Linked DNA regions of Struthio camelus. Each later gene encodes a partner of the first gene's protein in a complex. Links are inferred from orthologs where the notes say so. Each region holds a gene or a part of one and is shown on either strand. Other genes may lie near its edges.

What was found. Proteins that work in one complex are often made in the same cells at the same time.
Region 2: TMEM67 (region 1) and B9D1 share a complex: the UniProt entries of both Homo sapiens proteins name them as parts of the tectonic-like complex. The link is inferred for Struthio camelus from reciprocal best matches to the Homo sapiens genes TMEM67 and B9D1.

Annotation. Positions count from the first base shown.
Region 1 is NC_090943.1:149,423,139-149,430,449, forward strand, and holds the start of TMEM67 (meckelin), read right to left. Parts: upstream 3,086-7,311; 5' UTR 3,041-3,085; coding exon 2,857-3,040; intron 1,039-2,856; coding exon 950-1,038; intron 1-949. UniProt on the Homo sapiens protein: Required for ciliary structure and function. Part of the tectonic-like complex which is required for tissue-specific ciliogenesis and may regulate ciliary membrane composition.
Region 2 is NC_090956.1:3,416,702-3,424,659, forward strand, and holds the start of B9D1 (B9 domain-containing protein 1), read left to right. Parts: upstream 1-4,862; 5' UTR 4,863-5,217; coding exon 5,218-5,304; intron 5,305-6,476; coding exon 6,477-6,545; intron 6,546-6,646; coding exon 6,647-6,758; intron 6,759-6,828; coding exon 6,829-6,925; intron 6,926-7,490; coding exon 7,491-7,553; intron 7,554-7,958. UniProt on the Homo sapiens protein: Component of the tectonic-like complex, a complex localized at the transition zone of primary cilia and acting as a barrier that prevents diffusion of transmembrane proteins between the cilia and plasma membranes.

The sequences.
Region 1 (7,311 bases):
TGATACAGATGTTAATCCCTTCTCCCTTGTCACCTTTTTGTCTTTGCATGAGCTTTGTCTTAGGATCAGAATGATTAATAATAATGATAATGCCAGCATTATAGGAAAAAAAGAAATAGCAGAAAGATCAAAACACCAACGGATATCCCTCAAAGTCTTTCTAAAGTAGCAACAAGATGATGAAAAGAGGGAGGAGATTAGTTACGTTACCCAGTCAGCCATTAAGCATCTCACTAACCCAGCTCAAGTCGATCTCTTGAGAGTTTTTCTTACTGGAGAGAAAGAAGTACTTTGGAAGGCTCTTACTTTCAAGAGTTGTTTTTGGTAGAGAAATATTATTTCTCTATTTACTATAGCGGGAGAAAGCTGGTTAAGTCTGGTGCCTGTGGCTCACTGCTGTGAATACTGAGAAAACTAAGTTTACTTTGTCGAGACAGGCAGAAAGAACAGAGCAAATCACAAAGGTATGTGTAACTAAAATAACGCAAAATGAGCTGCTGCTTTTAAAGTGAAAAGATAAATGACAGGGTACGAAGATACAGCCCAAATATTACAAAAATAGGATTTATATAAATAACCAAATAAGATAAGGAAAAAAACAAACAAACAAACTAAAAAACTGAAACTCATCTTTGGCTTTCTATAAAGAAGTGGTCTCAGGGTAAGAGTAACACAACATGAAGCAGAAGAGAAAAGGAGCAGAAGGAAATTAAACATTTAAAATACTCTTACTTTGCCTAAAAACACAATTTTATAATTAAAAGGTCCCTGCAAATTAATAATAATAAACAGTTTTAAAGAGGAAAATAAATACTACATGGTCTTAAGGTTAAAAATTCACTGATTTTCAAAATAATCTAAAATTAAAGAAAAATAACTTGCAGTTAGATGGAAGTTCCAGACTTAAAAAAGCATTATTATGGCAGACTATGAAAAGTTCAATGCTTACCATACTTTCCGGGCATTTTTCACAAATAACAGAGGGCCCACCATTATTAGAAACCATCCTGAATCCTGGCTGACATACACATGAATGACCTGGAAAAAAATAATTCCCTTTTAAACTACATAAATCAAAACTGTTTTTTCCACATAATAGAGCTGTTATTTTTCTTAAGAGATCAGTTTAGTTTCTTAGGTACACAAATAAAACACTTGAGTGTCATGTGCATGAAAATCGCCTTGTTTTTTAAAAAAAGTAGATGTTACAGACTGTAGGAAAAGGTTTTGGGAAAATCAGATTAGGTTGACTGATACAGTGGGAGAAAAACTATACTAGGTGTGTGTCTTTGCGTTCTTCCTTCAGCTATACCAGTTGATCTAATAACTGGTACAAATCTTGACTCACTTAGCCCATCCTCTGGACAACAGTATTAGCATCATATGTCTGTATTCAGTTTTTAATCCTTCGAATAGGAAATCACTCTGAAAAACAAAACATAACCTTTATATGCGAAGATTTTTTCAAAAATATAAATGTAGTTTGTAAAGCTATTTTAAATTCAAAGCTTTTAAAACTGTGCATCCGGATCAGTTTCCAATGAGTAACAGAGCGTACCTAATGTTTATTATTAAAGTAAACACAATTACCATGGCACACCACAGCAGACGCTTGTTACACTCAATAGCATTTTTTTCCAGTAACTTTTTACTCTCAAGATATTGTGGATCCCTCTCTGTAAGTTCGAAGACATTTTATTAGTACTTAGAGTCAATTCTGTTTTATAGTGTGTGTTTATTATTATTTAAGGTCATAGAAACGTGCATGTAAACATTCACATAAAATTTGGTGAGGTTTTATAATCTAAACCTAAACTGCTCTAAGAAGATGCTGTGGAGAAGTCTAAATCCTTGAGCTCATGGAATCCTTGAGCCTTGGAATTTATATGTTTCCTTGAAGCCCCGAGCAGAACAGTGATGTTAGAGGAAAATTCAAGCCTAAAGGACTTACGGATTTAGATAACTATATGATCAATGCAACTGAAAACCGCTACAGTATGTTTCTTATGGATATCTTAAGATATCATTAAAGGTGGTGGGACAGGTGACCATCTTTTTTTATGCAACAGTCTCAAGCCAAGAGTATCCCACAGCGTGGGGACAAAGGCAAGGGACAACCCATCGTTCTTGCTGTAGCTACGCCGTAGGAAGCAGAGCATGCAACAGTTCATTGGCCAGAACCTCACATAAGGGAGCGCAGCTGTCCAGATGACTGCGTTTAATCGAGGGACCAGCTCCAAAGAAATAAGCTGTTGGGTCTTAGTTTGATTTGTTAATGTACATACACCACTGAAACTACCACTTTTCCAAAACTGAGTATTCATAAAAGCGGAACACTATCATACACTCATGTCTCTTAAAGAAAGCGAACATTGCTCACTTAGTACATTTTTCACTTAGTACTGTCAATACGTGTAGCATCCTCCACATTCCCACATGGGACTCGGATTAATCTGTGCACAGCCTGAAAGTCTCAGATATTTAAGTTCTCAGACATGTGAGTTTTGACAAGAAGCTTCAAGTTTTGGAAGCTCTCAAGAAGAGAAATTTAGGGACCTATAGAATTTTACTGATAAAAAAGTGGGCATTTGTAACAACAGAAATGCCTAAGGAAAGAAAGATTAGAGAAAAGGTGTACATATATTGCTCTTGGATATATAACAGAATACAGATATCGTATCTGTGCTACGGACACCTATGCCTTTTGGAAGGTCTGACCCTTTCCACTGCTTTTCAGACTCGTACCTGAGAACAATCGTTTTGCAAACTAAAGCAGCCCAAATCTGAGCCCAGATTTGGCACCTCCAGCCGCGAGGAGCCCCGCTCGCCCGCCCCCCTGCGGCGCGGATCGCTCACCGTCGGCGCTCGGCCTCTGGTGGGGCCCACACGGCCCGCAGGCCAGGCGGGAGATGTCGAAGTAACGGGCGTCGCCGCAGCCGCCGGGCCGCCGCAGCGGGAAGGAGAAGCCGCGGCCCGGCGGGAGCCCCGCGGCCAGCGAGAGCAGCAGCGCGGCGGCGCCCCACCACCGCGCCGTCGCCATGGCTACCCAGCAGCTGCAGCCGCGCGCTCTCACTGGCCAATCGCCTCTGGTACGGAGCGCCCGAAGGGCCCAACCGCGGAGGCGAAGCGTTCACGGGGGAGAGGGCGCGCCTGCGCCGGACGTGCCTCCGCCGGGGAGCGGGGAGGGCGGCAGGGCATCGGCGGTGCGGCAGAGCAGCGTCAGGTGGTGCAAACGTGTGGTTTTCGTTTTTAAGGAGACGGGTAGCAGAGCGATCATACAGAATGCCCAGATGAACGCACACAAAGCCAAAGTTACCCCTTTTTTCACTTGCTCTTATTCACTTTCCCCCAAGCATCACCAAAACTTTTCTGGGTACTCGAGCGTCCTCGGTTTTCATTATTCCTCACTATCTCTTTACTGAATGATAACCGCATAACTATTTTGAGTCCGTATAATAGTGCTGCTTGGAAGCATATATGCTTATCGCACCAAATGCTTCATTCCTAATCAGATTTGTATTGCTGCGTTGATGGAATTTTTTAAAGGCTGAGATACTGGGTGATTATGCTTAAACTTTTTATGCTTCAGTTCCTGTTCATAACATCTCTCCTAGAGATAGCGAACAGCTATCGCAGATAATTCCTATGTTGTATGTTCTTTTTTTAAACATCTCCAGTCAAGGAGAAGACAGCAGCTCCCTCTGTGCCAAGCACCCAGGCAGTGAAGCTAGGAAAGTGGGGTTATAAGCATTATTTCCAGAGAAAATAGCATTTATACCTGCAGTAAAATTATTTCTCAAGAATCTTAACCCTATTTTTGTGAGATTTCCAACCACTGCTTCTAAGCTATATCATGTGAAGAGGGATTTCATAAATCGTTAATACTGTGATAACCAGCAAGCTTCTGGATGCCAAGAGAAGGCAGCTTCACAACTTCTGGTCAGCCTCATGTCAGTTACTTTCTAGCTATTTTCTAAGATATAATGGAATGCAATTCCCCAAACTCAGTTTGAAAGGACAGAAGGACCTCATTTTATTAGTTACTCATGGTGTAACCAAACCACCAGTGCTATGTAATTGTATTGTTAAATCAGGAAACGTGTTTCCAAAAGACACAGAGAAGAGAGAAGCGTGCTTTGGATGTGGCTCTGCGGAAGACTCCATCAGAAGCACTTTCTCATATTCTACTTCCTAGGCTCCAGATAGAGATCGATCCCAGAAAAGACAGATAAGGGCTACCAGGATGACCAAGGGGGGGGGGGTGTGAATCTACCCCAAGCTTTTTTAGTCTATCAGAATGGAGCTGACTAGCAATAGAACTGCTGTCTAGAAATATAAGGGAATACGTCTAAAACACAGGGAAAGGGAGGTGAGATGAACACTGCATGGATAAAATACTATCTAACCTTAATGATGAAAGTAGCCTGCCTCTCCCCTTCTGCATGGACAGTCTTACCCCTTACTTACTTCTCCCTTCCTCCCATTTCTCCCAACGCACGCTTGGAGCCAACCTCGAGAAAGTTTAGGTTGGAAACTGTTTTTCTAACAATTGGCCCCTGAGCTTTGGGAACCGCCTAGGAACAGAAGCACAGGGTGCAACACCCCCTCTCCGGTGCCAGAGGCGCCCGCAGGCCCAGGCCCAGGCCTGAGGCGGCTCCCAGCGGCTCTCAGCCTCGGGGCCCACAGCCCTCGCAGGGACTTCCCCCTCGCCCCTTTTCCTGAACCGGGCAGGCGCCGGAACTGACGGAAGCGAGAGGCTGAAGGTCGCTGCAAACAGCCGTAACCCTAGCGATCAGCGCAGCCGCCACCGCCCGCTGTCACCGCGGCGCGGACGACACCGTTCTCCTCGGCGGCGCGCGCCGCCAACGCTGTCCCGCGGGGCGCCCCGGCGGCGCATGCGCACTGCTCGCAAAGCGGCCCCCGCACATCCCGCCGCCGTGACCACGCGACGCTGCACGCGTCAGCGGCGCGCCTACGCAGAGCGCATGCGTACTGAAACGAGCGGGGAGCCAGACAGCGCATGCGCAGCGGAAAGCGCGGTAGGGACAGGGCGTTCCCGGCCCCGCCTCCCGGAGGCGGTTCGGAGAGGGGGGAAACCGCGTGCGCGCCGAGCATGCGCACGAGCGCAGGGTGGCGCTCGGCGCCGCGCCGCGCCGCGCGGCCGGCGGGGCCCGGAAGGATTCGTGCAAGTTCAGCCGTAGGGTCGGAGGGGAGGGGGTCGCGCAGGCGCAGTTCGGCCCCGGCCTGCTTGTTGCGGGGGGAAGAAGGAGGACGCCATCTTGGCGGTGCTGCGCTGGGAGCTGCGGGGCTCGGTGCTGAGCCTGTCCCGGCGGCGTGTCCGGTGGGTGGATGGCGCGCGGGAGGGCGCCTGGCTTCCCTAGGGCTCTGCGTAGCCGAGGGCGCGGGGTGCGCGCCGGCGGAGCGGCTGCGCGGCGGTTGCCCGCGCTGAGGCCCCTCGTCCCGGCTGGCGGCTTTCGCCCTTCGCTCCCTAGTGCCCCCATCCCGGTGCCGCGGGGAGGCCGCGCTCGTTCTGCGCGGAGTCGGGTCACAGGCGGCCTCTCCGCCGCTCCCCGCGCCTCGGCCTCGCCCGCTCGGCGGCGGGGCGCGTTTCCGCCGGTGCGGCCGGCCGCGCCGCTGCTCCGGGGCTTCCCAGCGGCCTCTCGCCGAGGAGCAGCGCTCGGAACCGGCCCTGCGGCCGCCCAGCTGCAGGGCACCCTCCCGTCTGCCTTCAGCGGTGTTGGAGGCTTTCACTCCCAGTGACTTACTTTGACTATTGAGGCTTGTTTTGGAGAAGATTAGAATAAACAATCCTTCCCTGACCCAGCATATTCTTAACTCACATATTCATCAAAATTCAGTTTTATGCTTCTGGTATTTCTGTGGGTGTTCCTGTTGGCTTCATTGCATACAGATTGTGTAATCTTTCTATCCGGTAGTAAAAGTGCTAGTCTAGTGCAGTCCTATTTTCATGAAATATTTGAAGGCTTTTTTTTTTCAGTGAGGTGGTATGAAGTTTTAATAGCATTTGCAATGTGCTCTGCAAAGGCTGTGGAAGTGTAGGCAGGCACAGTACGACTTTCTAGTTAGCTCAGCTTAAATACAGAATTTCCTAAAGCATTAGTGTGCACTTTTCTGTGCTTTTAAAGTGTTGGCATGAGGCCATCTGTTTATTATCTAAACACTTGTTCTTTGAAGGCCTTGCTCAGTTGATGATCTGGTTTTTGTCTTGTGAGATATTTTCATCCTAAAAGTCACTTTTAGGTCATTCATTTAAACAGTTGCACTGGTTGTCTGTGTTGGCTTTCGCTTCTTCGTTGCTTAATGCACAGCTAGTTAAAGCCTATTATCCGAACTTGTATTTTTGGTATTTTTGTTTATGGACTTCTTAAATATCACGTTATGATCTTGAATCGGTGTGTCTTGTTTGAGCACTGCAATTTGTATTCTGTATCCGTGGGCCGTCGTGGAGGACTTGACGTTTACCACCTAAGAAGTACTGAGGATATCTGGTTCTGAATGCTGGGTAAAAATTGGGATAGGAATACAGAGTTGCAAAATTCAGAAATGCTACAGGTTTCATACATCATGAAATAGCAGGCCAGCGGATTTGATTTTCCAAGAAACGAAGGTTCTGTACAAAAATTCTGCCCTTGAGTTCTCTCCTTGCTTGTTGGCACTGCTACCATATCTGTTGAGAAGATCGATTATAAAGATGCGGAGAGCTGATGATCTTCATTGCAGTTATCAAACAGGCAGTTGTCTTCAGTTTGTGTTTATACAGTGCTGACCTAGAAGCAACATAGAATCAGTTAAAAAACTGGGGCTTCTCCGACTTGTTTTGTAAGCTCAGGAGGAGCGATTAGTTACTGTGATCAACAGATAACTGTGCATCAGAAATCTTCATTCATTAGTGTGTCATGACACTTGTTATTGAGCAAGAGTTTTGTCCAAGGAATATTCTCAGATACTTGTCATCAAGGTCTTGGGCTTTTTTTCTGAAGGGATGCAGCCATTTGTCTGGAGGCTTGTCGTTGCTCTGAGAGAGTAGCGTTCTATGTATATATGACACTAGATGATAATTTAAAAAACTGGGATGCATGGAAGTTAGTTTGTTAAGTGATTCTTATATTTGAAAGGCAGTATGCATTTAGGGAAAATAGTGAACTCTACTTTGTAAATTGAAGTAGTCACTGAAATATCTCCTTGTTGACTCTTTTTGCTCTTTCATGCAATTGTCTTCACTGTGTACCCTTAAGTGCAATGCTGGAATGGTGAGTAGCATACTCTTGTTGTGAACTTTAAAAGCAGGTG
Region 2 (7,958 bases), on another chromosome or scaffold:
ACAAACAAGGTTTCTTGTGTTACCAAAAAAAAAAAAAAAAGATTAAAAAAAGGAGAAAAATTACAGAGCGGTAAAAAACAAAACAAATAAATAGTAAATTATTTAAGAAATGTATTTTGTCTACTACAGTTCAAAGTAAATTATTGATACACTATGTAAAGGTATGAAGCGCTGTCTTAGGTGATGTTCTTTGTGAGCATTGAAGCTAGTGGCTTGTTCTCCTCGGAGCGTAACGCCTTCGAAAACTAGGCGGCCCCAGGCACCGTCTCATCCGCGGCCTCTCCGTTCATCGTCCCTGCGCGCACGCCTGCGCCCGGCCGCGGCCGCGCCGCCTTCCCGACGGCCCCCGCGGCCGCGCCGGCCTGAGCAGCCGCTCGAGCAATTCAGGTCACCTGTCCACACCGCTCCTTCTCTTTTTGTTTTTTTTTCTTTTTTTGTTTTTTGGGGGTTTTTTGGTTTTTTTTTCTTTCTTTTTTTTTTCTTTCTTCCTTGCTTTTGGGGTTTATTTGCGCTCTCGCACCTCCTTCCCCCGGCCCGCTCGTCATCCCGGCTCCGCCGCGGAAAGCTGCTGCCCGGTGCGAGCGGCCGCCCCGCCAGCCCGCCCCGCGGAAGAGACAGAAACAAAACACAAAACGCACGCAAAAAAAAAAAAAAAGAAAAAAACCTTTTTTTTTTTTCCCCCAAATCGTTTTGGTTTGGTTCCTTCCATGCCGCCTCATATTTATGCATTCACATATATCTTCTGTTATTTATGCCTTCAGTACTCAAAAGGAAATGTATCTCGTTTCACATGTATTAAACTGTATAAACTGGAAGCGTGGCTTGACTTTCTGGCGCGGCGCGAGCTACCGCTGGCACCCCGAGCCCTGGTGGCAGCGGCGGCACCCTGAGCCCCGGCGGCAGCGGCACCCCGAGCCCTGGTGGCAGCGGCGGCACCCTGAGCCCCGGCGGCAGCGGCACCCCGAGTCCTGGTGGCAGCGGCGGCACCCTGAGCCCCAGCGGCAGCGGCACCCTGAGCCCTGGTGGCGGCGGCACCCCGAGCCCCGGCAGCAGCAGCGCAGCACCCTGAGCCCTGGCAGCGGCGGCACCCCGAGCCCCGGCGGCAGCAGCACCCCGAGCCTTGGTGGCGGCGGCAGCACCCTGAGCCCCGGCAGCAGCAGCAGCGGCACCCCGAGCCCTGGCGGGGTCCCGCAGCAGCTCCCACCCGGGCCGGCGGCGAGGCAGCCGCCGTGTGCTCAGCGGCCTGCTCAGCACCCTGCCTTGGGGCACGCAGTGGCCGCCGGCGGCGGGGGGAGGCCTCGCCGCGCCGCTGCTCCGCGCCGTAGCTCCTTAGCCGTGCTGCGTCCGCCCTGGCCCCCGTGCCCTCGCCCGCGCCCCGAAGCCTGTGTGCGGCGGGAACCGCTGCTGTTAGAAGGTTTTGGCTGCAAAGGGGAAAACTTGGTCTTTATGAGGCTTTCAAAAAAAAAAAAAAAATCCTAAATCGGCCCGTTTTACCGCCAAGCAGGAGGAGTGGGACGGACAAGGCGTTTCCGAAGCGCTGCTGTCCCCTCCGCGTGCCCAGCTGGCCCTGGGGGCCGCTCGCAGGCGGCCCTGTCCCCGCGCCCTCCTCCCGGAGGAGCCGCACGCGGCAACACCTCCCTGCGCAGCCTAACGAGCCCGGGGCAAACGACGCCGGCGCCCGGCGCCAGCCCTCGGCCAGGCAGCGCGCGCCCTCACCGGTGGCCGGTGCATCATCCCTGTGGATTATTTTCCTTTTTTTTTTGTTTTATTAATTCACAGTTTATTGGCTGCAAAGCCCCACTCTGCTTTCCGGAGAAAAGCTGAGGATGTGGAGGAGCGTCTCGCCCGACGTGACTGTCTTCCCCGCACGTCGGGCCCGGGGAGCGGGCTGGCGCCTGCTGTGCACACGCTGGGGCGGCCACGGCGTGCCGGGAGCCGCCGCGGCCTCGGGACCCTCCCGGCCGCGGCCGCTGGCGGGCGCAGCTGTGGGAACCGGCCTCCTCCCGCCGCGCCGGCTCCCGGGGGGCTGGGGGGGGACTGAGCTAGCTCGAAGGACACAGACGCGAGCGTGGGAAACAAGCCGCGTCTTCGCCTTTGACCGCCAGCATCCTCTGGGAGCTGCAACTGCGGAGCCGTGCGCGCTGCAGCCGCCAGGCCACCGCCGGCCCGGCCCGTGCAGAGGCGGCCGGCCGGCTCCGCGCGGCCCCTCGCCCCCGAAACGTGCCGCGGGCTCGCTCGCCGACGGAGCGCGCCAGCCCCAGACCGGGCTGCTGGCTGCGGGCGGGCGCGAAGCGTTTTCGCTCCTGTCCTAGATGCGGCGGTGAACTAGGGTTACGGCATCAGGGACTCGGCACGGGGGCGATATCCCGGCAGTTCTGGCTCGCAGAGATGTCGGTTTTCTGCCCGGCCCTGGCACCGTGGCGGTTTCCTAAGGGCAGCCGAGCTCCGGGCGGGAGGTTTCAGCACGGGCCCCGTTACGTCGGCCGCGGCATCGCTATTGGCAGGCGGCAGAGAGGGGTGCAAGGGGCTGGCGTCGCTGCCCGAGTGCCGCCCGCTGCTTTTAGCATTTCGGTGCATTTCTGCAAAAAATGGAAGGTTCCCAGCTGGTCACAACCCACCAAATGGTGCACCGAAGCCTGAGCCCGGACGTCGCCAGCCCCAGCCCTGCTTTCGCCATTGCACAGATGAGCGGGGCCAGGAGGGAGCTGCTGCGCCTGATTCACCGGCTCGACGCCCCGGGGAGGGTCGCAGGGCCGTCGGGGGCTCCGGGCAGCAGAGCATCGGCCAAGGCTGGCGCGGGAGGACGAAGCAGCGATTTGAGCGCGGGGCCCGGGAGGCGGCGACGGTGCCGCGAGCGCCGGGCTCTGGCCGCTCGGTGTCTGCGCCGAGCCGGGTCAGGCAGCGCCAGGGCGGGAGGGATGCTTGAAAACACCCGAAATAAGGAACTAACGAATGCTCTGGCCTCAGCGAGGCCGCTGCGCCGGCAGGAGGGCGGCCAGGGGTTTGCGTGCAGCCCCGGCAGCGCCTCCGGCGCCGGCTGCTCTGCCCTCGCTGTAACCTGGCCCTTTTTTAATCGTGGCCGTGGTGGTTTCCTTGAGAGAACCGTTCTTCAAAGCCTACCCAAGGTCTTTCCCGTAACAAACTTTTCCTCCTCTTTCAGGGATGCCCGTTCCCCAAATCTGAATCCATCCCAGGTGCAGTTCGACACAACCTTTAACCTGTCATCGTTGCGCGACCATGCAGGTGGCATGAATACTAATAAGCACTTGATATTTGTACGAGCTTTCACAGGATGAGTAATTAAATTGACTTTATCCATTAAACCTTCACTATTAAGCTTTAAGTACACGGCTGTACCTCGATGGCTGGGCCCTGTCTGCTCCTTTATGGGGGCGGCCGGGGGGGGGGGGGTCTTCATTAGACATTTGTGCGCATCCCGCCAGGGCCTCATTCAGCACGCTCTGCGCGGCTGCAATCTCCCTCTCAGGGCTTTTTTCCAGCAGCTCGACAGGTCTCTCCGTTGCAATCCCGCCGCGGCCCAGGAATAACTTCATTGCTCGTCGTTCCTTACGCCCGTACCGAACCCGATCGCCCCGCCGGCTTCCCCAGGCTTCCTCACCCTCTCCTGCCCGCGTGTGAGTTATTCTACCTGGCACTAATTAATTTTCCTCATTCAGCAAAATAAATAAATACATCTCACGGACGGTAACACGTTGCCATACGAGTTAATTCTTCGTGCAAGACCGGGCGCTGCGCGGCTCGCCGGCCGGAGCGCCAAGGGCAGGCGGCCAGCGCCCACCTGCTAATTACCCGGCCTAATGAAGGGGGAAGTGCTGGGTCCCCCCCCCCCCCCCCCAGCGAAAGAAATCTCGGGGCAAGTATATTTTAGCAAGAATTTGAGCAGTAGTCCGTGCGCTCCGGCCATCGGTCGGGGGGCGGCGGGCGGCAAGAGCAGCAGGAGGCGCCTGAAGGGCAGGACGCTGGCCGCACCTCGAGGAGAAGCAGGCGGCGATGGCTCAGACCGGCCTCCTTGTGCAAACAGCCTGAAAACAAAGCCGTTGGGTGGTTTTTGTTTTTTATTGCGGATTAACGACACCATAAAACGTATCTCCCTGGCCGTTTGAGCAGGGCTTGATCGTAAATATTTGGGATTTAAAAATAAATAAATAAATAAAACGTTGCCGCTGGGCCGAGCGCCCGCGGGCGGCACCGAACCAGCCCCCGGGGTGGCGTTGCCGGTACCGGAGAAGGCGGCAGTGACAAAGTACCGGCTTTCGGGGGCCTGGCCGGCCGGCGCAGCGCGCCCGCGTGGGGGCAACGGCCAGCAGCAGCCCCCCGCGCCCGGAGGAGCCCAGAGGCAGGGTGAGGGGCGCCGGCCGCAGCCCCCACGGCCCTTTCCGGGCTCAGGCCGCCGCCGCGCGGGCCGGGCCGGGGGTGAAAACATCCCCGCGTCGGCCCGGAGCGAGGGCGGCGGTAGCTGGTCACTCGGCGGCCCGGGGCGGCTGGTCAGGGGCCGCTTTATTTTCGCCTCCTGATATTTTTCCCTTGGAAAGAGCGGGTTTTTTGTTTTTTTTTTTTTTTTTTTCTGGGGGGCAGGGGCCAAAGGGTGGGATTTCTGCCCCCCCCTCCGCCCCAACCCCGATCTGGTCTGGTTTGCTGAATGCCAAAAAAGCAAAAAGCAGGGCGGGGGGGGAACAAACCAAAGAAATCTCAAATTAAACAAAAATAAAGGAAACCCTCCCGGCGCGAGGCCGCCCCTAGCGGCCGCCGCGGGGCTCCAACCGGGCTGGAAAATATGAGCATAAACCACATAAATCTAGAGAAACTCGACGAATCGCACGGCGAGGGCCGGGGGGGGGGGGGGGGGGCGCTGCGGCCTCCCCGCCCCCCGGGCCACGGGTGTGATGAGAGCGGCAGGCCTCAGCCGGGCTCTCTCGGCAGGGCGGGGAAGGGCAGGGGGTAGCCTGCCTTTCGGGGGGCTGAATTTGGGCGGTGGGCAGCGCCGTTAAGCGGCGAGCCACGGCCGGGCCTCCCTCCCCCTCCTCCTCCTCCTCCTCCTCCTCCTCCTCCTCCTCCTCCCCCCCCCCCCAGCGGCGGCCCCGCGAAGCGCCGCCCGCCGAGGAAGCGTGTCCCCAGCGCCGCGCCGTCCGCGGTATCCAGGGCGACGGCGGCGGCGCGCGCGCCCCCCCAGCAACGAGCCAGGCCGCGCTCGGCGCCATGGCGGCCGCCGCCGGCAGCGGCAGCAGCAGCAGCAGCCCCGACGTCTTCCTGGTGGCCGTCAGCGGGCAGATCGAGAGCGGGCAGGTGAGCGGGACTGGCCGGGGGGTCGCGATGGGCTTGTGGGGCGTGGGCAGCGCGGACCGGTCTCGGCACCGGCGGCGCGGCCTAGCCCCCGGCCCCGGTAAGGCAGGCCCGGCCCCGGGCTCGGTGCCGGCTGAGGGCCCAGGCCCGGCCCTGGCCGCTGTCCTGGCACCGTGGCCTGGCTTTGGCCCGCCCCGGCCCGGCAACGCAGCCCGGCCTCAGCCCTCGTCCCGCTAACGTGGGTTGGCGCTCGGTTCCCATAACGCAGCCCGGCCTCAGCCCTCGTCCTGCAAACGTGGGTTGGCGCTCGGTTCCCATAACGCAGCCCGGCCTCAGCCCTCGTCCCGCTAACGTGTGTTGGCGCTCGGTTCGCATAACGCAGCCTGGCCTCAGCCCTCGTCCTGCAAACGTGGGTTGGCGCTCGGTTCCCATAACGCAGCCCGGCCTCAGCCCTCGTCCCGCTAACGTGTGTTGGCGCTCGGTTCCCATAACGCAGCCCGGCCTCAGCCCTCGTCCCGCTAACGTGTGTTGGCGCTCGGTTCCCATAACGCAGCCCGGCCTCAGCCCTCGTCCCGCTAACGTGGGTTGGCGCTCGGTTCCCATAACGCAGCCCGGCCTCAGCCCTCGTCCTGCAAACGTGTGTTGGCGCTCGGTTCCCATAACGCAGCCCGGCCTCAGCCCTCGTCCTGCAAACGTGTGTTGGCGCTCGGTTCCCATAACGCAGCCCGGCCTCAGCCCTCGTCCCGCTAACGTGTGTTGGCGCTCGGTTCGCATAACGCAGCCTGGCCTCAGCCCTCGTCCTGCAAACGTGGGTTGGCGCTCGGTTCCCATAACGCAGCCCGGCCTCAGCCCTCGTCCCGCAAAAGTGTGTTGGCGCTCGGTTCGCATAACGCAGCCCGGCCTCAGCCCTCGTCCTGCAAACGTGTGTTGGCGCTCGGTTCCCATAACGCAGCCCGGCCTCAGCCCCGGCCCCGGCCCTGGTAGCTGGGCTTGGTCTGAGCCTGAGGACCTTGGCTTCGTGGAGTGGACTGGCCGCAGTGCTGGTACCGCGGCCTGCTCTCGGCCCCGCTGGCGCCGGCTCCCTCAGCCTCGTAACACAGGCTGGCCCTCGGTCCCGCTAATGTAGCTCGGCCCCAACCCTAGCCCCAGTAACGCAGCCTTTCTCTCTCCCGCAGTTCCCCGAGTTTGATGACCTCTACTGCAAGTTCTGCTTCGTTTACGGCCAGGACTGGGTTCCGACTGCTGTAAGAGCCTTTTACGTCCCCTTGAAACGCGGGCTGCGTTGCTGGCCTGTGTAAAACGGGCCCGGCAGGGGTCCTTGGCTCATGCCACGCTCTCCCTGCAGGGCCTGGAGGAGGGCATCTCCCAGATCACCTCCAAGAGCGATGCCGCAAACTCTACACTCGTCTGGAACTTCCCCATCGACATTACCTTCAAGAGCACAAACCCATCCGGCTGTGAGTGCCCAGGGGTGGTGGGGCCCATCTCGCAGACCAGGCAACCTGCTGACTTCCATTTCTTTTGCAGGGCCACAGATTGTAGTAAGCGTCTATGGACCTGATTTTTTTGGAAACGATGTGGTCAGAGGCTATGGAGCTGTTCATGTTCCCATTATACCTGGAAGGTGAGGTGATGACCTACTCATCTTTCAGGATCAAAATGGAATTTATTTCTAAGTATCTGTGCTGTTTCAGAGCCAAAAATGTCCCCTTATCTCCTTGTCACGTCATCAGAGTGGTATGAACAGCATAGATCTTCTAGTAGAAGCCCCTGGTTATCAGATGATTTTTGGTAATCCTGCAGGCAATTCCGTAAAGTCAAAACTAGTATGAAGAAAGTCCAAGTATGAAGTGCAGTATGTCAGTTCTTCTTCCCCAGCACTCTCAGCAGGCGCTAAGCTTTCATTTCTGCCACTGGAAGTAGAGTAAGTTACTATGCTCTTCTGTATTTATATCTCTGGGACTCCTAGGATGCAGCAGCATGTATGGCACTCTGAAGTGACTTGTTTGCTCTGTGCTAGCTTTCTTATGCAAGCAAGCCCTTCCTCTGTGGATGGGAAAGTATTTTTACTCTGAGATGTTCAGTGATATAATGTATCTGAAATTCTGGCCTCTTTAATAAAAATAAGGAGGCTTGCCATTGCTGTTTGGTTCATTTCTTAATTTCTGTGCCTTTCATGTTTGTTTTAGGCACATAAGAACTATTCCTATGTTTGTTCCGGAGTCTACATCTAGGCTGCAGAAGTTTACAAGGTAATAATTAAAGACTTTGTGAGTAAGACTAAGAAGAACTTCTTAAAAAAAAAAAAAAAAAAGTATCTCCAGCTACTCACTTGTGCATACGTACACGTATTTTGTATCATAAACAGATAGTTTTGAGTTTTATGGGTGAAGCTAAAGTTGAGGAACTAAGTGAGGTGAAGCTAAAGTGTCCTTCAGAGAGCTTTCATAAAACCTGTTAACTATTTGCTTGGAGTAATGCTGTCTAACTTGCCTTTTTTGTCATCCTTGGATTTGAACAAGGTTTGTTTGAGAAAGAGTTGCTAATTTTAACAGACTCATCTCTGAACTCTTGCACTGTGTGGCAACTCCTTACTCCACGGGCCGATTCATTTCAGTGACATGACTTGCAGAAGCCCAGCTTGGCTCGGAGTGGTT